Linked DNA regions of Saccharomyces cerevisiae S288C. The main gene of each other region encodes a partner of the protein of the gene in region 3 in a complex. Each region holds a gene or a part of one and is shown on either strand. Other genes may lie near its edges. The genes, in order: COX4, COX1, COX6 and COX5A. A codon is read from its position in the direction of its gene.

Region 1 (5,315 bases), on a different chromosome or scaffold from region 3:
CTTGATATCTACGATGTTGAAGCTCTGATCTGGTATGTCCAGATTCCATAAATTGATTCTCAAGTCGTCAGCACTTAAAAATGTTTCCTGATCAGAATTCAACGATATCGAATTAATGTGATAGGTATGTGCATTACTATATATACGCTTTGGGGTGGCAGCAATGATTTTGTCATGCTGTGATAATTGAGGCAGTTTCAGCGATTGTAAAGATAATACAGCCCTCACGGAGCCTCCTCTACTGTTATGGTTATCGGGCTTGCCTTTTTTCGCAAACGTAACCCCTTCTGTTAAGTTGTTCTGGCTTACCAATTTTATATTTTTCTCATAAACTTTCCAAAGTTTTATAGTTTTATCATTTGTGCTCAAAAGAAAGTGTGATCTTTGAGTTGGTCGTAACCATTTGATTTCATTTATCTTCTCTTCAATTTCTAAGGATTTTAAATAATCAAATTCTGCGTCATGACTTTGAAACTCTGTTAAAAACTTATATTCGCAATGTCTACTATTACTTCTTTCAAAAAGTACCACACGGCCACCTTTATCACCAGTGGCCAGATAATTTCCAGTATAGTCAAATTCTACAGCTGTAATTAGATCCGCCTCTGTCACCACAATATCTGCTTTATCACCAAAACATTGGCTGAATTTAAAATCAAAATTGTTTTGTGCCATTGTGCGCTATATTATATTTCTTTATGCGTAAGATCTCTCCAGTTTGACCTCGATATGTTGGCTAGATTTTATGAGGTTTACAGTTTATAGAAACACTAGTTTTCCCTTTCTTAATATGTTGGTGGAGTGGGGGTAATCGTATTAAGCTGCCTTATTCACCCTCTGATAGGAATAAAAATCGAAACAGGACGAAAAAAGGGTGAACTAAAATATAGAAGAGAGCCTAATTGACGTAATCGAATTCTTCTAGAATGCGTTTGTATATTCAATTTTCAATTCTTCCAGTCTCTTCGTGGAAAGTTCTCTAACGTAATAGTCTTGTCTTGTGCAAACTCCCTTTATCTTTGACGGGAAATGTTAGGCAAAATTGGATGGAAAAGAGAAAAAAGGAAGGAAAAAAACAAAAAAAATCTACTTAGTTAAGGATCTATTGACGTGCGCGGGGGGAGTATATGCCAATTGTCTCAAAAAAAAAACGTTTATGCCGTGCCGGAATAGAAATAGTTACTGGTCGTTTTCCTATCTGATATAAATCTGAGTAAAACGATTATTGTCTAACCCAATGCAATATATACAGATAGCATTCCGCTCATAGTTAATAATTAACTTCAGACAGTTTTTTTCAATATCTCATTAAAGGGAAGAAAGGGAGGCGAAAAAAAAATCAAAAAAATTATACTTCGTATCAAATTATATTCGTGGAAGGTGACGATAGTAATATTTGATGTTGAACATACTTGAAACATTAACATATTTAATAGAAAACTATTGTAATGGTTATTTTTTATTGATTAGAAATAGTAGAAAAATTTACTTATGTTTCACCTATATTAATCAAGTTATAAAGCCTTCTTGGCGGCATCAGCAGGGGAAACCTTGTTTTCTCTGTTGAATCTTGGTCTTTGAGGTGGAGCTCTGTTCTTTCTGTCTTCTCTGGATCTGACTCTGACAATTCTGGCGTGAATAGCACAAGAAACACAGTAGTGTAACTTGTTGTAAGTCTTTGGCAAAGCGTATTCAGGGTAGACAGAAGCTTCGGACAAATCTCTGACGGCAGCGGCTTCAACAATGTTTCTGATAGCCATTCTCTTGATAGCCTTATCCTTTGGAATAGACTTGGAACAGTTGACACATCTGACTGGTTTGACGTGACCTCTACCTTTCTTGTTTCTACCGTTGGAAGCTCTCTTCTTTGGCATTTTGAATGATCTAATTAAATATTCATCACGAGTATTGCAGGTTTGCAAAGAGTTAAAATAATTAGTTAGTAACTTCTCAATTTTTTTAAAATGATCGTGGCAAAAAGGGAAGGAGATATTTACGTAACATTTGAAATTTTCTCGGTACAATATTCTTCAATAATAAGTACATTGCATACGATGGGCGACTTCCTTCTTTTTCTTTAGTTAGTGTGAACTCATGATTGGCACACTTCTAGTGATTAACTGGTTTCCTTTCAGAAAACAAGTTACATTTGCCATGTTTTAATAATATCTTGTCACTATTACTTTCTCCCAATTCAAAGATCTCATCGTTCTTCCCTTCTCTACTTTCACACTTTTGTGTCGTTAACATACTACTTAAGACTATGGTTCTTTTATCTGTAATAGCGAACAAATTAAATCATTTACTATAACGAACATTAAATCTAGTAGGTATTTCAAATACCAAGTAATCCCTCAACACTCAATGAGAACGAAGCGGTGTAAGCTGACACTTCGAGTTCCGCCTATGTTACTGGATATGAGCCCTCCCCCCACGAAGGTTTTTTCCTTCCAGAGCCGAGAACATCTCCCAAGGAGAACGAAGCAATACCGGTAAGCTGCTTACCGTCGGGGCAGGGAAGTTCAATTCAACTCCCTGTGCCGAGAATTTACTTTTTTCGAAAAATCGACGTCTTTAAAAAAAGAAATCAGTATGTATGGGTGGGTGTATGGATGCTGTAAGCACAGTCTAGAATCTTTTGGAAGTAACTTCGCAACAACCTCTAGCTAGCCATCTCTGACAGAGATAGAAATAGTAATCAGTTATGACATGAATAGTACTAATATTAATAAGAATTTTTAAATAAAAATATATCTCGACCTTTTCTCGATCTTTTTGGTTATGTATTTTTTGGCTCTTCATTATAGATAGAGCAAAGCGTTCGCCTTAACCTTCCTGCAAAGAACTTTCTTGTGGAACTTTGTTAACATGACGTGTGTAAAAGCTCAGACCTGGTAAGAATATTCGCTAGGTTTCCAAAAAAAAAAATATAAATAAAGAAGAAGGTAAAAAGTAAAAGAGAAACAGAAGGGCAACTTGAATGATAAGATTAGTGATGGTGGTCATCATTTGGAACACCAACAGGGTTTAGTTTGTAAACAGAACCACATTCCCAGCATCTGGCGACTTCGTTAACAGTTGGTTTTAACCACATAATAGTATGTGAACCAGCGGGAGAACCCGTACAACCGACATAACGATAATCATCATAAGATTCAATGATGATCGGATCTTTCATGGTACCCTTCCTGGACGAATCTAATGGTTTGGTGTCGAAAACATCGATACCCTCTAATTTACCCAATAATTCTAACCTAGCTAAACCAGTTTCTTGATCTAGGTCTGTTGGAACGGTACCCTCTTTAGCACCAGGACCAATCAAAGTTTCTGGACCATTAACTTCTGCTAAGTTTTGGGCAGTTTTCACCACGGGTTTTTGCTGAAGCAGATATCTAGAGCTACACAAAGTTCTTGTGGCTGGCTTGAAAAATCTTATAGATTGACGTAGTGAAAGCATTGTGCTTGTTATCTATTTGTATGGCAACATCAAAATCGAAATGGGTGAGTATTGTTAGTATACTGTTTCTTCAGGGAGAAGAATACGTTGACTAAAGGAAAGTGACAGGGAATATTTCGCATCGAATTCTTCATTATATGATGGACAATTTGGACAATTATGCAATTATCGTCTCAAGCCAAATAGAAAAGCAGGGAACGAGTTAAACTTGCAAATAAATTTTTTCTTAAAGTCAAATCCAGATTTGTTTTCTCTTAGTTCTTTTCCGTTTCGTTCGATCTGTTAAATATCTTCTTTCCTGGTAGTTCTTCTCCTACATCTCATGTATTTTTCAATAAGAGGATTATAACATACATTTCAAAATAATCTTATTTCCTGTTTATGCTAATTTTTACGCAATTAGCGTGCCTAAGTACAAAAAAATGTTTTGTAAAAAGTATGAAAAAAATTCTAATCTTCGTATATCTTTCTTTCCTGTGTTTATACTTGGAAGAAGCGAAGTATTTTATCCTTGAGTGTGTCTTATTTTCTCTTCCCTTTATTTGCTACTAACCAAGATGGGAGATATCGCTTTTTCGAAGGACGCCTTTGGAATCCGCTGATCTTATTGGTGGACAGTCAGCTGACAGAAAACTTAGATCGTGACAGCAAATTAAACGATTTGTGCTACTGTTCAAAGTGTCAGTATATCACTCGATGATTTCAATTGTCCACCAGGCTTAGATTTTCATGTGAAAAGATAATGTGTACAAAAAAATATCCTCCCTGAGCGTAATTTAACATACCATGAATCTACCTGCCAATATTATCTAAACTAAAGTTTGCCGCTGCACCGTAGTTTTAATATATACTTATGTCATTTCAATTAACGACCAAATTTACGTAGCTCTAAGTATCTACAAGGAGGGTATACAACACCTGAGAACGCCATACTTAACCACATTGCGACATCACCACCATATTCACCAAATTTGGCAGCAATTGGGCCAATCCAATAGGCTTGCGCCATACCAACTACCACACCAGCAACTCCTACAATAAACGCAAATGTTGCTGCATAACCGTGCGTTAAAACCTCATAATCTTCCCATTTGTCCCAATTGTAACGATGTTTAGTCACCTTATGTTTTCTTTTTAACAAATGGATATTAGTAACTGCATCTTTCTCCACTTCTTTTGAAGATCCAACAAGTTCCGGTCCATTTATTTCTCCTGTAACTGTAGGAAACTCTTTGGTGTACAAATGTAAGAAAAACCTTCTGAATACTAAATTCTCTTCGAATAATAAGATAAAGTACATGCTAATCCAGTAGCCTATCATTGGTAGGAAATTTCCCAAAATAGTACTAAAATGATTACGACCTATTAATGCGCATACCAAACAAATTATAGTACAAACAATAGACCAGAACCAGCGAGGGATTTTTGCACAAAACACACTAGAAAGTTGGATGGAGAATGCTGCCGAATACGTATTGATGATGTTGTTGGATACCAAACTGAATACCAGTACTACCACGCAGAACTTTCCGAAGCCGTTCCAACGCTGAAAACCTGCCCAAAGTAGACCACCCATTCCATGGGAATCGTACTCGACTGACCAAGGCTTATACGACATGGCAACAGAAGCTAGTAAGAGACCTAAGATTCCGACGAAACAGGTAGGCAAAAATGTTCCAAAAAACGTTAGGCAAAAAATTTGAATATATGGTGTATCTTCTGGGAACAATATATAATAGTCTGCTGTAATAGACCCCCAAGTAGCCGTAATACTATAGCATAATGAAAAAAAACTCATCCAGTTGCCCTTTCGGGTGGAAGAGTCCAAATTTCCCTTTGAAACGTATGCATTGACGAA
Region 2 (7,464 bases), on a different chromosome or scaffold from region 3:
ATAAATTTATATAAAATATTATTTATAATTAATTATAATTAAATTATAATATAATATAATATAAATAATAATATAATAAAAATAAAAATAAAATAATATTAGATTATATTATATAATTTATATAATTTTTTAATAATAATAATAAATAAGTTTATTTATAATTATAAATATAAATATAAATATAAATAAAGAAGGTATTATATTTTATAAAATATAATAATAATACAAAATTTATATTTTAATAAATATTAATATAAGTTTAAAGTTCCGGGGCCCGGCACGGGAGCCGGAACCCCGAAAGGAGAAATAAATAATATATTTATAAAAAATTAAATAAATAAATATTATCTATTTAAAAATAAATATAATATAATATAATATAATAATTCTAAATATAAATAATATTTATTATAATTATTATAATAATTGTATTATTTATTAATAATATATATAATTATATTAAAACTAATATTACATTATTTTGTATATTTAAACAATTAAATTGATTATTCTTATTTGTAATCTTTATTTATTTTATTATATCTTATTAATGATAAATTATAATTATTATTAAAATAATAATTTACTTCTTTTGATATAAAAATAAAATAATATAGTTCCGGGGCCCGGCCACGGGAGCCGGAACCCCGGAAGGAGATAAATATATTATATTTTTATTCCTACCTATTAAAGGTAAAGACTCGATTCTCATAATTAAATTTATATCCTTCGGCCGGATTAATTTATTTTATTTATATTTATATTTATAGTGAATACCTTTTTTAATATTTATTTTTAATATTTATTTTTAATATTTTATTTTTAATAAAATATAATCTTGTAAGTAAGAAAAGAATTTCGGTGATTGGAACCTTGAAAGGATAAATTTCTTATTTATTATAATATTTATATTAATAGTTCCGGGGCCCGGCCACGGGAGCCGGAACCCCGAAAGGAGTATTATTAAACATTTAATATATTATATTAATATTTAATTTAAATGATTAATATATTATTATAATAATATTTATTTTATATTAAAATATTATAATTAATATATATATATTTATTTTAATAATATTATTATTATTATTATTAAAATTATTATTTTTATAAATATATATATATATATATATATATTATTTTTATTCTTATATAAATTATATAAAAAAAATATATATAATATATAATTAATTAATATATATTATTTAAATTATATATTATTTAAAATACTTTTTATATTATATCTTCTTTAAATTAAAATATAATTATTATTTATATTATAATTATTTATGAAATATTATTATTAAAATAAAAAAGAGGTTTAGACTATATATTTATTATTTATAAACTTATTATATTATTTATTATTAATAGTTCCGGGGCCCGGCCACGGGAGCCGGAACCCCGAAAGGAGAAATAAATAAAATAAAAAATAATAAATATTAATATTATTAAATATTATTTATAATAAATATTAATATTATTAAATATTATTCATATTAATAAATTTTATTATTATTTGTAATATATTAAATATTAATAATATATATATTATTTATTATAATGAAAACCTATCCTATATTATCCTATCATATAATATCATATCATATTATATTATATCTTATTATATGATATATAAAGTATTCACTCTATATGAGGTTATGATTATTATATAAATCTTATTTTATTTTTATTTTTATTTGGACTAATAATAATTATAATAATAATTATTGATATGTTCTAATATTAATAAATACATATTTATATTATAATATAAATATTCATTTCTTACTAATTAATAAAAAGTTTTTATATTCATTATAATATAAATATATAAATATATATAAATATTTTAATAATTATAATTATATTAAGATATTATAAATATATATTTATTTTTTTTTATAAAATAAATAAATAAATAAATAATTAATATTTTTATATTATAACTTATTTTTATAATAATAATAAGTATTTTATTTTTTATTATATTATTATTTATATAATTATATATATATTAATTTCAATTTAATTAATTAATTAATTGGTATTTGGCATATAATATCAATTAATTGTAATTCTTATAAGAATTAATTAATTAATATGCTTTTTATATAATTTATACTTTTATATTTCTCCTTCCGGGGTTCCGGCTCCCGTGGCCGGGCCCCGGAACTATTATTATTATTTTTATTTATTTATTATTAAAATATAATAATAAATAGTCCGGCCCGCCCCGCGGGGCGGACGCCGGAGGAGAATTATATTTTTATATAATAATTTATATTTCTATATATATATATATATATTATATATAAATATTATTATATATATTTTTATATATATTATAATTATATTCATTAATATTTTATTATAGTGGTGGGGTCCCAATTATTATTTTCAATAATAATTTATCATGGGACCCGGATATCTTCTTGTTTTTATTTATTATTTTATTAAATTTATTTTAATTATTTATTTATAATTTATATTATACAATTTATTATTTCGTTAATACCTTTATTTATATTATATAATATATTATATTATTATAATATATTTATTGATTATATTAATACATTTAACTAATGTGTGCTCTATATTTATTGAATAGTTTGGTTCTTATCACCCACCCCCTCCCCCTATTACGTCTCCGAGGTCCCGGTTTCGTAAGAAACCGGGACTTATATATTTAATACTAAAAATATAACTACATTACTTTTTTAATATATATAACAATATATATATATATATATATTAATTATATAAAATATAATACTCTATATTAAATATTATTTTTATCAATATTTATTTATATATATAATAATAATAATAATAATCAATATTAATTATTTATATATATAAGATTAATATTATTTAATATATTATGAATAATTTAATTAATAAATCTTTAAATATTATCATAAAAATATAAATTAAATAATTTCTTATTTATAATAAAGAATAATAATATATATAAATATAATAAAGAATGTAAATAATATATATATAATATAATATAATATAAAAAATATATATATATATAAATATATATATAATATATAGATAATAATATTTTTATATAATTTATTTTATTATTAAGTAATAAATAATAAAAAAATCAATATATTAAATAATATATTTATATTAGTTCGGTTTAGTTGGTATTTTGTAATGAGTAAAAAGTAATATATAATATTAAATAATAAGTATTGATATAAGTAATAGATATAATAATAATATTATTAATATTTTATATAAATAATATTAATAATATAGATTATGAAAGAGAGTATTAATATCATTAAATATATATATATGTTATATAATTTAAATGATTTTAATATATATATATATATTATATTATAGATTATGATACATTTATATAAATAATATATATATAAAAATTAATTATACTATTACTTTATAATATAATAATATTTATTTATAAAGATATAAAAGAATTGTTTAAAGTTATAACTAAAATATTATATAGTATTCATTAATAATTAATATTATAAATTCAACTATTGTTATATTTATAAATAGAATAATATATTATTATCCTTTAAGATATAACAATAATTATTTAAATTAAATTAAATTAAATTTAATTAATTTTTTTTTTTAATGAATATAATAATAATAATATTATTAAAATTAATATATAAAAAAAAAGTAAAAATGGTACAAAGATGATTATATTCAACAAATGCAAAAGATATTGCAGTATTATATTTTATGTTAGCTATTTTTAGTGGTATGGCAGGAACAGCAATGTCTTTAATCATTAGATTAGAATTAGCTGCACCTGGTTCACAATATTTACATGGTAATTCACAATTATTTAATGGTGCGCCTCTCAGTGCGTATATTTCGTTGATGCGTCTAGCATTAGTATTATGAATCATCAATAGATACTTAAAACATATGACTAACTCAGTAGGGGCTAACTTTACGGGGACAATAGCATGTCATAAAACACCTATGATTAGTGTAGGTGGAGTTAAGTGTTACATGGTTAGGTTAACGAACTTCTTACAAGTCTTTATCAGGATTACAATTTCCTCTTATCATTTGGATATAGTAAAACAAGTTTGATTATTTTACGTTGAGGTAATCAGATTATGATTCATTGTTTTAGATAGCACAGGCAGTGTGAAAAAGATGAAGGACCTAAATAACACAAAAGGAAATACGAAAAGTGAGGGATCAACTGAAAGAGGAAACTCTGGAGTTGACAGAGGTATAGTAGTACCGAATACTCAAATAAAAATGAGATTTTTAAATCAAGTTAGATACTATTCAGTAAATAATAATTTAAAAATAGGGAAGGATACCAATATTGAGTTATCAAAAGATACAAGTACTTCGGACTTGTTAGAATTTGAGAAATTAGTAATAGATAATATAAATGAGGAAAATATAAATAATAATTTATTAAGTATTATAAAAAACGTAGATATATTAATATTAGCATATAATAGAATTAAGAGTAAACCTGGTAATATAACTCCAGGTACAACATTAGAAACATTAGATGGTATAAATATAATATATTTAAATAAATTATCAAATGAATTAGGAACAGGTAAATTCAAATTTAAACCCATGAGAATAGTTAATATTCCTAAACCTAAAGGTGGTATAAGACCTTTAAGTGTAGGTAATCCAAGAGATAAAATTGTACAAGAAGTTATAAGAATAATTTTAGATACAATTTTTGATAAAAAGATATCAACACATTCACATGGTTTTAGAAAGAATATAAGTTGTCAAACAGCAATTTGAGAAGTTAGAAATATATTTGGTGGAAGTAATTGATTTATTGAAGTAGACTTAAAAAAATGTTTTGATACAATTTCTCATGATTTAATTATTAAAGAATTAAAAAGATATATTTCAGATAAAGGTTTTATTGATTTAGTATATAAATTATTAAGAGCTGGTTATATTGATGAGAAAGGAACTTATCATAAACCTATATTAGGTTTACCTCAAGGATCATTAATTAGTCCTATCTTATGTAATATTGTAATAACATTGGTAGATAATTGATTAGAAGATTATATTAATTTATATAATAAAGGTAAAGTTAAAAAACAACATCCTACATATAAAAAATTATCAAGAATAATTGCAAAAGCTAAAATATTTTCGACAAGATTAAAATTACATAAAGAAAGAGCTAAAGGCCCACTATTTATTTATAATGATCCTAATTTCAAGAGAATAAAATACGTTAGATATGCAGATGATATTTTAATTGGGGTATTAGGTTCAAAAAATGATTGTAAAATAATCAAAAGAGATTTAAACAATTTTTTAAATTCATTAGGTTTAACTATAAATGAAGAAAAAACTTTAATTACTTGTGCAACTGAACTACCAGCAAGATTTTTAGGTTATAATATTTCAATTACACCTTTAAAAAGAATACCTACAGTTACTAAACTAATTAGAGGTAAACTTATTAGAAGTAGAAATACAACTAGACCTATTATTAATGCACCAATTAGAGATATTATCAATAAATTAGCTACTAATGGATATTGTAAGCATAATAAAAATGGTAGAATAGGAGTGCCTACAAGAGTAGGTAGATGACTATATGAAGAACCTAGAACAATTATTAATAATTATAAAGCGTTAGGTAGAGGTATCTTAAATTATTATAAATTAGCTACTAATTATAAAAGATTAAGAGAAAGAATCTATTACGTATTATATTATTCATGTGTATTAACTTTAGCTAGTAAATATAGATTAAAAACAATAAGTAAAACTATTAAAAAATTTGGTTATAATTTAAATATTATTGAAAATGATAAATTAATTGCCAATTTTCCAAGAAATACTTTTGATAATATCAAAAAAATTGAAAATCATGGTATATTTATATATATATCAGAAGCTAAAGTAACTGATCCTTTTGAATATATCGATTCAATTAAATATATATTACCTACAGCTAAAGCTAATTTTAATAAACCTTGTAGTATTTGTAATTCAACTATTGATGTAGAAATACATCATGTTAAACAATTACATAGAGGTATATTAAAAGCACTTAAAGATTATATTCTAGGTAGAATAATTACCATAAACAGAAAACAAATTCCATTATGTAAACAATGTCATATTAAAACACATAAAAATAAATTTAAAAATATAGGACCTGGTATATAAAATCTATTATTAATGATACTCAATATGGAAAGCCGTATGATGGGAAACTATCACGTACGGTTTGGGAAAGGCTCTTTAACACGTGGCAACATAGGTTAATTTGCTATTTCATTTTTAGTAGTTGGTCATGCTGTATTAATGATTTTCTGTGCGCCGTTTCGCTTAATTTATCACTGTATTGAAGTGTTAATTGATAAACATATCTCTGTTTATTCAATTAATGAAAACTTTACCGTATCATTTTGGTTCTGATTATTAGTAGTAACATACATAGTATTTAGATACGTAAACCATATGGCTTACCCAGTTGGGGCCAACTCAACGGGGACAATAGCATGCCATAAAAGCGCTGGAGTAAAACAGCCAGCGCAAGGTAAGAACTGTCCGATGGCTAGGTTAACGAATTCCTGTAAAGAATGTTTAGGGTTCTCATTAACTCCTTCCCACTTGGGGATTGTGATTCATGCTTATGTATTGGAAGAAGAGGTACACGAGTTAACCAAAAATGAATCATTAGCTTTAAGTAAAAGTTGACATTTGGAGGGCTGTACGAGTTCAAATGGAAAATTAAGAAATACGGGATTGTCCGAAAGGGGAAACCCTGGGGATAACGGAGTCTTCATAGTACCCAAATTTAATTTAAATAAAGTGAGATACTTTAGTACTTTATCTAAATTAAATGCAAGGAAGGAAGACAGTTTAGCGTATTTAACAAAGATTAATACTACGGATTTTTCCGAGTTAAATAAATTAATAGAAAATAATCATAATAAACTTGAAACCATTAATACTAGAATTTTAAAATTAATGTCAGATATTAGAATGTTATTAATTGCTTATAATAAAATTAAAAGTAAGAAAGGTAATATATCTAAAGGTTCTAATAATATTACCTTAGATGGGATTAATATTTCATATTTAAATAAATTATCTAAAGATATTAACACTAATATGTTTAAATTTTCTCCGGTTAGAAGAGTTGAAATTCCTAAAACATCTGGAGGATTTAGACCTTTAAGTGTTGGAAATCCTAGAGAAAAAATTGTACAAGAAAGTATGAGAATAATATTAGAAATTATCTATAATAATAGTTTCTCTTATTATTCTCATGGATTTAGACCTAACTTATCTTGTTTAACAGCTATTATTCAATGTAAAAATTATATGCAATACTGTAATTGATTTATTAAAGTAGATTTAAATAAATGCTTTGATACAATTCCACATAATATGTTAATTAATGTATTAAATGAGAGAATCAAAGATAAAGGT
Region 3 (4,997 bases):
GGGTTTCTTCGATTTTGTCCTTTTTAGCTTCAAGTTCATCAAGAACGTCCTGGTTATAGTATAATGGCAATACGGGCGACCTATTGGTCTTGATAAAAATGGATCTGATTTGGTATGCTTTGATTAACTGTTCAGAAATTAATTCAACGTTATCTACAAACTCTTCTGGCCTTAACCATTCTAAATTACCCAAATGGACATTCAACGTGGTACCTCTTGGAAGTTTAACGGGCAACTGATTCATGTAAACCTTTTTGATATTGTTCGTCAAAGTGGTCAAGGAAAATTCCTTATTTGCATGTGTTCTAATTGATATAGGAGTAGTTTCTACTTTGTTGTAGGCTTTGCCTCCCATAAGTTTTGGCAAAGATGTAACTATACTGTCGTCAGCCAAAATCAAAGAAAACTGAGATATAAAAGCGTTTCTAGCCTCATATGCCTTGTAAACGGTCTTTAAGTCTTTCCCGCAAATGATTTCATCAACCTTGATTCCTTCTGAATCTAATTGATCAAATAAATCATCTTCTGAAACTTTCTTAATATCAGAATCCTTCAAAATTAATAAAACTTTGAAATCCTTAACCGCTGTTGCACTGGCTTCTTTCCAAGGCTTGTAAAACGAATGTTTGACATTTAGTAATTTCAATTTGAATGATTTGGAAGTACCGGTGAATGATTTATTATTTACTACGATTAATTGCAGATCTTTCTTCAATTCTTCTTCATCATCTTCCAATAGGTTTTTCTTACCGTTATTTCCTTCTTCATTATTTTCATCTTGTGGCTTGGAAGTGAATTTTATAAGCTCGTTGACAGCTTTAATAACTCTTTCCCTAGGAATGGCTGTGGAAGATTTCTTTTCAATAACCTTCTTCTTTTCTTTGCTTGGTGTACTTACAGGCGTAGATTTCTTTGAGTTACTCTTTTTAGCCATTTTATACTTTATAGTCTGGAACGTAGGTTTATCTGCCTGCTGTCTAATATTTCTTATAAAACAGACACTATTCTTTATGCAGTATACAAACGCTTTTTGTTACTTTTCAAAATTTGCGATGAGCTCCAGTGGAAAAATTTTTTTCAGGAAATTGTCTTTAATTTTTTTAGTATGAAGTGACATCAACTTCACATTTATTGACGCAACGGTGAAGCACAGAATAGAATAGTAATTCTTTAATGGTATATTCTAGGTTTTTGTTTTTTATATAGTTATTTATTGTTTTATTATTTTTCCCATTCTTCTTTCCTGAAATAGAACACAAAAAAGCTACTAACAAAGGATATTAAAGGTAATCTGTGACCAGCCCTCATTACCAAAAATAAAGTTTGTTCAAGTAATAGAGTAGAGAAAACAAAGTGGAAATCATAATGGTTAAATTTAAATATTTTTCTTTTACTTTTCTTATTTCACCTCTTGTGATCTTATCGTTGATTTTGATATATTAGTTTCTGAGTGGATGAATATCCATAAAGGGTAAAACAAATAATAAGGTAAAAGGGAAGAAAAAAAAAAAATAAAAACTAAAATCGTTTTACAAAATAAATACGAATCTTATTTCAAATTGAGGAATTTTCCACAAATAAAAAAAGGACAACAAATTACAGACGTTGTGTGGTAGCTTTTTCCTTATTATTAAGAAGAGCTTGGAAATAGCTCTTCCTTTAAGGGAACGCCCAATTCTTGTCTGACATCCTTCAATTCATCCAAGTAGGCCTTGTATTGGTCTTCATTCTCCACCTTGTATTTCAAAGCCTCAAATACTCTAATTGCGGTAGGTAAGTCATTGACTCTTCTGGCAGCCCTCAAAGCTTTTTCAATAACAGCAGGAGCAGGAACTAAATCATAGGAAAAACAGTTGTTGAGCACTCTTTGCACTTCAAACAAATCATAGGCTTCATCAAACTCCTTTTCGTATCTTGCGGTGAATTCCTCAAAGGTTTCTTCATCATGTGCGTCAGAATACTTCCTACTTTGAATAAACGTATTTTTAGTCAATCTAGTTGCATGATAAGCACCAGGTCTGGCTCTCAATAAAGTTCTATTTATAACTGGATTTCTGAATATGGCCCTTGATAACATTGTTGTATATTTATTAGTTTATGTGTCAAATACAATTGTTCGGCTGTTTATCTCCGCTACTAAGTCTCAGAAGTGATACAATTTTTCAAATTGTAATAATAAATAAGTGTGCTAAAATGTGGATGAAATGTAAAGAAATGAGGTAACCTTGAGATCTGGCACCTTGATAAGCAAGAGCAATTGTTGATCTTTATTAATGCTTTGACCGGACCAATTAGGTCCCTTTTCATAGGGAGATTCAAAGAAAGCTGTAAGCGGCGGAAATAACGCGCGGGGCCCTGATTGGCTCGTATGGAGCGATACGGCCATCAGTATAGCCTAACACCAACTTTTTGATTGGAATTTTCTGTTATTATTCTTGGATAAAATGTATACTTATACTAGTCTAAAGAATTGTTATATTAGAGGTGTACTTCTTTGCCCGTAGTAAAGCCCAGTAACATATAAAAGTTCAGTCCGGAGATAATCAACCATACTATGATTGCGAGCACGGTGACGATCATTCCATTGCTCATGTCTTTGTATTCTGGAGCAGGAGAAACTAAGCTGCGCTCCTGTGAGCTGCTGCCTATGCCCATTTCTTCGAGCTCAATGGTCTCATCATCTTCGGTTCGGTCGGCCACGGGTTTTTTGTCTGTAGTTCTTGAAAGTTCTTTGGTACGGTTAAGCTGTACACGCATAATCTTCTTGCTTGAAGTGAAGTAAAGTAAAGGTGCAGAAACAAAAGGCAGCAAGAGAGAAAGTACCACTTGGGAAGCATTTAGTGCACCAGAGAGGCCGCTACGTCCAGCTACAAGCACTAAAATCAAACAAGGCGTGATGGCTACCGCTCTTGTGGCGGATCTTCTCAATGCCGGAGAAACAGTCCAATTTAAGAACCCTTCACTAACCATTTGTCCACTCAACGTACACACGATACCGGCACTCTGTCCTGAAAACAACAATGCCAGCACGAATACCGTTCCCGCTCCCTTGGAAAGAGTACTACAGAGTAAGTTGTAAATAGAAAATAAGTCAGCTTCCTCAGCATTTTGAGTGGACCCGTATAGTGTAGCGCCAGACACGATAAGAATGGCACAATTGACAAATAATGCCACCGTGAACAGCGAGATCAGTAATTCCGTTATAGTAAAGTGCAGAGTTTCACTGATGGCCTCATAGGATGGCCTGTAATTATCGTGATTGTTATCCATATCATTCGCGTCTGGCAAGTAATGTCCGTTTTTGATATCATACTCTCTTAATCTTGGTTGAACCACACCTGACCCCAAATATAATGAATGAGGCATTACCGTGGCGCCCAGAATTGCCAGACTTAAGTATAACCCATCACCTTCAAAAACGGCTTTACTGGGTAAGAACCCAGAAAATATTTCTTTGGCAGGTCCCAGTTTGGCATAAAACAGTTCAACAGTAAAGCAAACTACGGTAAGAACCACCAATAAAGAAACAAAAGCTTCAAATATTCTGATACCCTTCATGGAACCGTTAGGTTTGTAAGCTAGCAGAACAATTAAAACGTCTACCACAGTAAGTATCACACCTAGGGCGAGAGGTATATGGAAAAGGATATTCAAAGAAATAGCGGTTCCTACCACTTCTGCCAGATCTGTGGCAATAATTGCCATCTCCGCCAGAATATAAAGAGTAATGTTAAGTCCAAAGGGCAAATGTTTCTTACAATTTTGTGCCAGATCTAGGCCAGTGACAGCACCCAATCTGGCGCAGAGGTACTGCCAAAAAGCAGCCATGAAATTAGAAACTAAGACAGAAAATAAAAGCTTGTACCGATGAGCAGAACCCGCTGCTACAGCTGTACTATAGTTACCAGGATCCATGTACGATACAGATACCATCAAACCAGGACCGATGAACCTAGCATATTTTCTCAATGTTCCGATCATGCTCTGGGATGTTGAGTTTGGCTGCAAAGTTGTTCTTCGACGCGACTCATGAGTGGTATTCACGTCGGCATACGCATCGTTGACACTATCATTATTTGTTTGGGATTCATCGCTCCATTGAATAGGTTCATATTCTTGGGACGTCATCAAACATAAACGCTATACGGAAAATTAGTGGTTAAATGGCAATAGAGATGTGCTAATATTAGTATCAAAACAAATAGTTGTTGAAGAGGGTTTTCTAAACGGTTAAACGCGTTTGATGGTTAAATGACTAGAAGCAAAAGGAGACTGATTCTGAAATTTAATATGATTTCTTTTTTTTCTGCTGTTTCTCTTCTGCATTATTTTCTTCCTTCGAGAAAGAGTATAAGTATGTTTAAAAAGGTCTTCGTAAGCCACGCTAAAGCACCCCGGGTGGATTTTTCGCGCCGGGCGGGGTTAGCAGCACGCAGGATGGAAGAGAAGAGAAAGGATGCTACAAACTTGTGGTTCATTCTATACAAAGTACTTATATGTATATATACATACTCGATCAGCATTTCACTCCACACACCCTGCGTGTGATAGTAAAAAGCTAGAAAGCAGGTAAGCAACAACCTACGATTTATTCAGAAGCTTCTTGTAAGGAAGAGGTTATTTGTTCAACAATTGGTCTGATAATGTCCTTCTTGTTTGGAACCATATGTCCACCAGGGTGTTCGTAAGCCAACACCTTTTCCTTATTACCATTTTGCGCCTTCAAATAAATATCGTACAGGTACTTGGATCTGACGGATGGGACGGCTTGGTCAGAAGCACCATAGATGAAGATCATCTTGGTCTTCATGTCTGGTTTTACCGCAAATGAGTCTCTGAATTTTTCGGTTATTCTCAATTCTCCAGGATGTTCTGGGTCTGGCTCGGTGAAGGAATAGCCGGAAATGACTACACTTACCTTGAATTGTGGATGGTCTGGAACTAACTCTGAGATCTTGTTGGTGATGATAGAGGACAATGCGGCACCTTGAGAGAAA
Region 4 (4,967 bases), on a different chromosome or scaffold from region 3:
TGTAAACTGTCTCACTTATTTAGAGAAATAGATACTGAGTTTAGCATTACATCCAAGTAGCTTTGGTAATCACTATTATCAGAAGATTTTTTCATACTTTGCTTCATAGTGTTTATAATAAAATCTTTATTTTTTAACAGCGACTTGCCCACAGGGCCTCCTCTATTAACAGATATATCAAAGTCCTTTTTGAAGGCAGATGAAACTTTGCTCCAAAACAGATCTCTCGGTGTACCAGAACCTGCTTTACTCTTCATTGAGGTATATTCTGATAAAAGATTGCCAAGGCGTGATTTATTAGCAGCAATAGATCTCGAGGAATTCGTAACATTATCCGTTTTGATGTTCTGTAGTAGTGTTTCTAAAATGTAGATGTTATAACCTTTTTCAACAACTTCATTGAACGCATCAGGAAACATCCTGATAGAATTTAAAATTTTTGATAGGATTTGTGAGCTCATTGTAACATTAGATAGTACAATCTTGTTTATTGCAGACTCGAATTCTTGAGATGAAAGTAGATATAAGGAGTAGGCCAGCTGAGATATTATTTCTTTGTTCGATTTGATTTTAATAGAGTTCAAGCACTCTTTACACATTTGTAAAGACAAAAATGTTATTAACTCTCTTTTGTTGGGGGAAACAATGTCCTGATCTAATTGTTTAATTTTCCGCAAGGATTTTAGATTTTTATTTTCTTCCAAAGTAATTTCAAGTTGGTAGTGTAAGGAGGCTAAATTAATAGCTGTTGATGTGCTTAGTTGGGCTGTTTTAGACAGTGCGTTTAATTTGTTTGATAAATGAATATAAAGCAATGCTCCGCGCAAGAGAAAAGATGTTTGGTAAACTTTACTCAACGCTAGTTGGACTTTCCTCGCTCTTTCATAAGGATCTAGAACTTGATTCTTTAGTCTATCGTACGACATATTCATATATCCCAAACTTGGTTTCAACTCACCAACTATGGTTGAATTGACGTGTTCATTTTTGTAAATTAACTCTATTATCTCCAATGGGTTGCTATTCATCAATTGGTCTATTCTAGAGTCAATCTCATGTAGATCATAGTTTAGCTTTTTAAGAGGCGTGTTAAGGTCTAAAATGGTTGTGTCATTGTTATTAGTAGCCTTCAGTAAGTCATTACCAAATTGTTTAGCATCAAAATCAGGCTCCAGCAGAGACTCAAAATCTTCTAAATCGTTTGCCATTGGCGCTATTGTCATACCTCCAGCTCTTTTCTTCTTTTTTGTTACACATTTTTATCTTCCATATCTATTCTAGTTGATTTTTTTTTTTTCATAGTATTCAACCAAATGGAGAAGTTTTTAAGAAATACGTCTTTGAAAGGGAGGCATAGAATAACAAGGTAAACCCATTTATACAGGATTCCCTCATACTATATTAGCTTATTTCATTCCAGGGGGGTTCCCTTAAATATAAGAATAATAAGAATAATGATATAAAATTATATGTCTAACAAAAAATTACAAAATTTGAGTAAATAAATAAAGAAAAAATGTGAGAGTGGCAATCAGCCAATTTTATGTTTGATATGTTGGCATTGTATTGGGCGGATGCCCATGGATACACTTATAATGTAATAAGATATTCACTTTCGTACAGGTCACAGACTAGCTGAAAAAACCATGACAATCGTTAACCCCTATTGATTTCCTTTCAAAATTTCTGGCCTGTTCATTTAGATTGGACCTGAGAATAACCACCCCAAGGATTAGCATTCTTCGACTTCAAATATTCGTCACTCTTTAGCTGCCACTCCTTATTCATGGTCTTTGCGTCTTGGCCACCCGCCATCCTGACGACAGCAAAAAGTCCCACTGAAAATAGTAGGCCTGCAGCAACACCTTTGGCAATAAAACTGGAATCACCCTTATTCAATACAGGTCTTCTTGGGCCCCATTCTCCGTAAGAAATGTACCACACAGCTTGCTTTTCAGGCTCAGTAAGCTGTGCCCATGGTAATTTTTGACGTTCACTCAACTTACTGACAATATCCTGCTGCTCAGTGGAGGGCATGTTCTCCCATCTGGATTGCAGATCCATTACAGCAGCGTTGGAAAGAGCATGTGTTTGAGCGAATCTTACGGATGTAATACGTGATAGTCCACCAGCTCTAGTAAAAGTGTTACGTAACATTGTAGATGCGTTCTTAGTTGATCTTGTGTTTGGTGCATTGCTTGCAAACAGAAGACAAAATACGAGGACTGATGGTTCTTATTTAATTGATTGTTCTTTTTAACTTTTCGCCGCCGCTTGTATCGGCGCAAAACGTAGGGCCAATCACAAACGAGGAAAACGTCTATTGGACGATTTTTGCAATGTGACACTTACAATGATGAATAATTACTATGTAGGCAGAAGTGCTAAGTACATTCTATTTAGAAGCGTAGGGAGGCGGTCTGCCTGCAGATCTGATAGTCATAAAGATTCTTTTGGGAGATGCTGTCCCTTAAGGAAGAAACATCATCTGTTCCGGGGCAGTAGATATTGATTCGTTGTCCACAGAAGCTTCCAGTGAATCTGCGGGTTGAGACAAACTTTTACAGTGCTCATCATCTTCCCCGCGTTCTGTGGCCAGTGCGGTCCTTGCTCCAGTCAACGTAGCAGGAGTTCTTGGCGTTACTTCCGAAGAATTGACAGAACTGTCATTCGGCGACGATGATAGATTCGTTACCATGGGAAAACTTCTAAAGGACGCAGAAGAGTAGGACTTCGTAGTCGAGGAAACTTCGTTGTTTCCGATGTCATCTTCCTCAGGCATGTGAACAGTCTCTCCTTCTTCGCCCGGTGAGTTCTTGGACAACATGGTTCCCCATTCCATAAGTTGGAAGATGAGACCCATGTTTGGACTTATATCCTTAGCAACACCTTTCAGCTTATTGTATGCATCATTTAAACTCAAGCCATAATATCGCATGATATACGCCACAATCAATGACGCCGATCTTGATACTCCACACTGACAGTGTACGAGTATTTTCTTGCCTTGCGAATGAGCGGTATGTATAATGCGTGTCAATCGGGATAAGTCCTTGACGATCTTGGATGTGTGTGTCCATTCAATATGGTAATATTTTATTTTATGTGCCATTTCCGGCGGTATTAAAAACTCCAGGTTCGGTATTTCTTTGGCAACATTAATGACTAAATCAAACGATAATATATCTTCTAGTTTGGGTTCTGAATATAGATACAAATTAGGCGGCAGTACCAGCAATGGTCCATCTAAATAAACCGTTCGTTGATAAATCTCTGCATGCACCATATCAATATTCAGATCCGAGTCCTCCTCCGGGAAAATCAATGTTGTTTGCATATTCTTTTGGTTAGAAAATCTGTTGACATCCGTACTATCTAAAGTACCTTCACGAGTACTAGAAATTGGCGTGGATGTCTCTAACCCTGAGATCGTTTGAGAACGTCCTCTAATTCCCTTCAACTTCAAGTCTTTAGTTTTCACGGATAATGAATGGACTCTATTCAGATGAGGTTTTTCTGAAAATGACGATAACGGTGATGATGATGACAGCTTACTGATAGACGATACTGTGGATGATTTTGTATACACGCTTGGAGAAACAGTTCGGTTCTTCAAAGATGTTGGTAGTGTGTATATAGAGGCCTCGCTTCGCCTCATCGACAGCGATGGTGGCGTTGGCCTTGGACTTACTTTTGGTGGACATTTCTCCAACACAATAGGTTTGGGCTTCATAAATAGATTCAAAGGTGTCGGCGATGGGAATTTTACTGAACCTGGCACATCTTGGCTTGGCGATGAGAATTCCATTAATGGATGGAGTGCTGCTATATCTAAAGATAAATTTTTGGTATTCCTATTTTGTAAGGAACGCGGTGAGTTTGGCTTGAAATCGATGTCGGTTTTACTGTCCAAATGCTGCTTATCTGAGTGAAATTGCATGTGCACTTATCGCTACCAAATGTATTACTATCGCTTCCGCTACTATTGTTGTCTTATACTTAAATGAAGAAAAAAAAAAGAATGTTTACTAAACGAGTTGCATAACCCTCACTCTTGTTTACTAAACGCTTTATTTAAAAGTAATAATAATGATATATTACACTGTATCGAATCCTATGTAACATTTTTGTATTTTTTCACTTCTAAATTTGAAATAGTCAAAGAGAAAAAAACATCAAAAAACAAACTACATTTTCCTTTTTTGGAAAGTACATTCCTGTTTTGGAAATTGCCTTCCGCTCCTGCGCTATAAAAAGAAAAATACCCAGCTTTGACGAAAAAGCTACATTCTTAACACTCACTTCTTACCAGGATGGACCATGGAATCCTTTTGAATAGCCGTAGATTTTTGCGTATTGAAAAAGGGCACCTCATACTTCATGCTTCCACGGACTATCAATTCGTAATCATGCTTGATTAGTAGCTTCCATTTTTTAGTATCATCTTCTTTGTCATCTCTAGCATTTGGTTTGCTTTTGTATTGTCTTTCATTAGTATTGTTTTCATCGTCACCATCGTCGCCATCATCATCGTCATCATCGTCGTTTTCGTGCTTGGCTTCACGAGACCCAGGACTTAAAAGCTTGACACTCGAGACTGACACATCGTAGTTCCTATTAAATGCGCCGCCCTGGAACTTTAATGGTGTCTCTAGTTTTTTAGCGGTTCCTAGTAATACCGTCTCTATGTTCCCACCACTAATATCATTATTAGCACTCTCTTCAACTAACGAAAGATTTGTCGTTATTTGTAAAATTTTCCGTTCCTGTTCCATTACTGTACAGTCACCATTAGAATCGCACTTCAGGTAAGAACTTTTTGCAAAAATGTCCAAATCGACTTGGGAAACGCTTATACTGAAGAATCCTGGATTAAAAGCACTTACTGTGATGTCGAAGATCAACTCGTCCGAACTTGAAATCACATTATCCATCACTACCACGTCTACATCTTGTAGTTCTTTATT

What was found.
Region 1: the proteins of COX6 (region 3) and COX4 are in contact, whole or in part, in a cryo-EM structure (PDB 8DH6), measured with the Saccharomyces cerevisiae proteins. Residues at the interface, in NP_011918.1 of Saccharomyces cerevisiae: Tyr64 (codon at 1,888), Asp65 (codon at 1,885), Phe67 (codon at 1,879), Glu68 (codon at 1,876), Gln70 (codon at 1,870), Arg71 (codon at 1,867), Asn74 (codon at 1,858), Asn75 (codon at 1,855); in NP_011328.1 of Saccharomyces cerevisiae: Lys91 (codon at 3,187), Thr93 (codon at 3,181), Met94 (codon at 3,178), Arg133 (codon at 3,061), Trp135 (codon at 3,055), Glu136 (codon at 3,052), Cys137 (codon at 3,049), Gly138 (codon at 3,046), Val140 (codon at 3,040).
Region 2: the proteins of COX6 (region 3) and COX1 are in contact, whole or in part, in a cryo-EM structure (PDB 8DH6), measured with the Saccharomyces cerevisiae proteins. Residues at the interface, in NP_011918.1 of Saccharomyces cerevisiae: Leu66 (codon at 1,882), Phe67 (codon at 1,879), Gln70 (codon at 1,870), Leu73 (codon at 1,861), Asn74 (codon at 1,858), Arg106 (codon at 1,762), Glu109 (codon at 1,753), Ala110 (codon at 1,750), Tyr113 (codon at 1,741); in NP_009305.1 of Saccharomyces cerevisiae: Asp496, Phe497, Val498, Glu499, Ser500, Ile503, Leu506, Asn507.
Region 4: the proteins of COX6 (region 3) and COX5A are in contact, whole or in part, in a cryo-EM structure (PDB 7Z10), measured with the Saccharomyces cerevisiae proteins. Residues at the interface, in NP_011918.1 of Saccharomyces cerevisiae: Gln70 (codon at 1,870), Ala95 (codon at 1,795), Arg96 (codon at 1,792), Asn99 (codon at 1,783), Asp100 (codon at 1,780), Leu101 (codon at 1,777), Pro102 (codon at 1,774), Thr103 (codon at 1,771), Ala104 (codon at 1,768), Ile105 (codon at 1,765), Arg106 (codon at 1,762), Leu135 (codon at 1,675), Gly136 (codon at 1,672), Val137 (codon at 1,669), Pro138 (codon at 1,666), Lys140 (codon at 1,660), Glu142 (codon at 1,654), Leu143 (codon at 1,651), Phe144 (codon at 1,648); in NP_014346.1 of Saccharomyces cerevisiae: Gln35 (codon at 2,055), Gln57 (codon at 1,989), Lys58 (codon at 1,986), Leu59 (codon at 1,983), Pro60 (codon at 1,980), Trp61 (codon at 1,977), Ala62 (codon at 1,974), Leu64 (codon at 1,968), Glu66 (codon at 1,962), Lys69 (codon at 1,953), Gln70 (codon at 1,950), Val72 (codon at 1,944), Trp73 (codon at 1,941), Ser76 (codon at 1,932), Tyr77 (codon at 1,929), Arg83 (codon at 1,911).

Annotation. Positions count from the first base shown.
Region 1 is NC_001139.9:146,715-152,029, forward strand, and holds COX4 (cytochrome c oxidase subunit IV), read right to left. Parts: upstream 3,458-5,315; coding exon 2,990-3,457; downstream 1-2,989. Other genes in the region: protein phosphatase 2A regulatory subunit CDC55, read right to left, coding at 1-675; 40S ribosomal protein eS26 RPS26A, read right to left, coding at 1,515-1,874; YGL188C-A (uncharacterized protein), read right to left, coding at 2,110-2,250; TPN1 (Tpn1p), read right to left, coding at 4,323-5,315. UniProt on the Saccharomyces cerevisiae protein: Component of the cytochrome c oxidase, the last enzyme in the mitochondrial electron transport chain which drives oxidative phosphorylation.
Region 2 is NC_001224.1:10,131-17,594, forward strand, and holds the start of COX1 (cytochrome c oxidase subunit 1), read left to right. Parts: upstream 1-3,687; coding exon 3,688-3,856; coding exon of another isoform or gene 3,857-6,192; intron 6,193-6,304; coding exon 6,305-6,340; coding exon of another isoform or gene 6,341-7,464. Other genes in the region: intron-encoded reverse transcriptase aI2, read left to right, coding at 3,688-3,856, 6,305-7,464; AI5_ALPHA (intron-encoded DNA endonuclease aI5 alpha), read left to right, coding at 3,688-3,856, 6,305-6,340; intron-encoded DNA endonuclease aI4, read left to right, coding at 3,688-3,856, 6,305-6,340; intron-encoded DNA endonuclease aI3, read left to right, coding at 3,688-3,856, 6,305-6,340; intron-encoded reverse transcriptase aI1, read left to right, coding at 3,688-6,192. UniProt on the Saccharomyces cerevisiae protein: Component of the cytochrome c oxidase, the last enzyme in the mitochondrial electron transport chain which drives oxidative phosphorylation.
Region 3 is NC_001140.6:206,785-211,781, reverse strand, and holds COX6 (cytochrome c oxidase subunit VI), read right to left. Parts: upstream 2,078-4,997; coding exon 1,631-2,077; downstream 1-1,630. Other genes in the region: CIC1 (Cic1p), read right to left, coding at 1-934; YHR050W-A (uncharacterized protein), read right to left, coding at 2,137-2,307; divalent metal ion transporter SMF2, read right to left, coding at 2,479-4,128; FSH1 (putative serine hydrolase), read right to left, coding at 4,589-4,997. UniProt on the Saccharomyces cerevisiae protein: Component of the cytochrome c oxidase, the last enzyme in the mitochondrial electron transport chain which drives oxidative phosphorylation.
Region 4 is NC_001146.8:528,915-533,881, reverse strand, and holds COX5A (cytochrome c oxidase subunit Va), read right to left. Parts: upstream 2,158-4,967; coding exon 1,696-2,157; downstream 1-1,695. Other genes in the region: Golgi transport complex subunit COG5, read right to left, coding at 12-1,223; tyrosine/serine/threonine protein phosphatase MSG5, read right to left, coding at 2,471-3,940; VAC7 (Vac7p), read right to left, coding at 4,299-4,967. UniProt on the Saccharomyces cerevisiae protein: Component of the cytochrome c oxidase, the last enzyme in the mitochondrial electron transport chain which drives oxidative phosphorylation.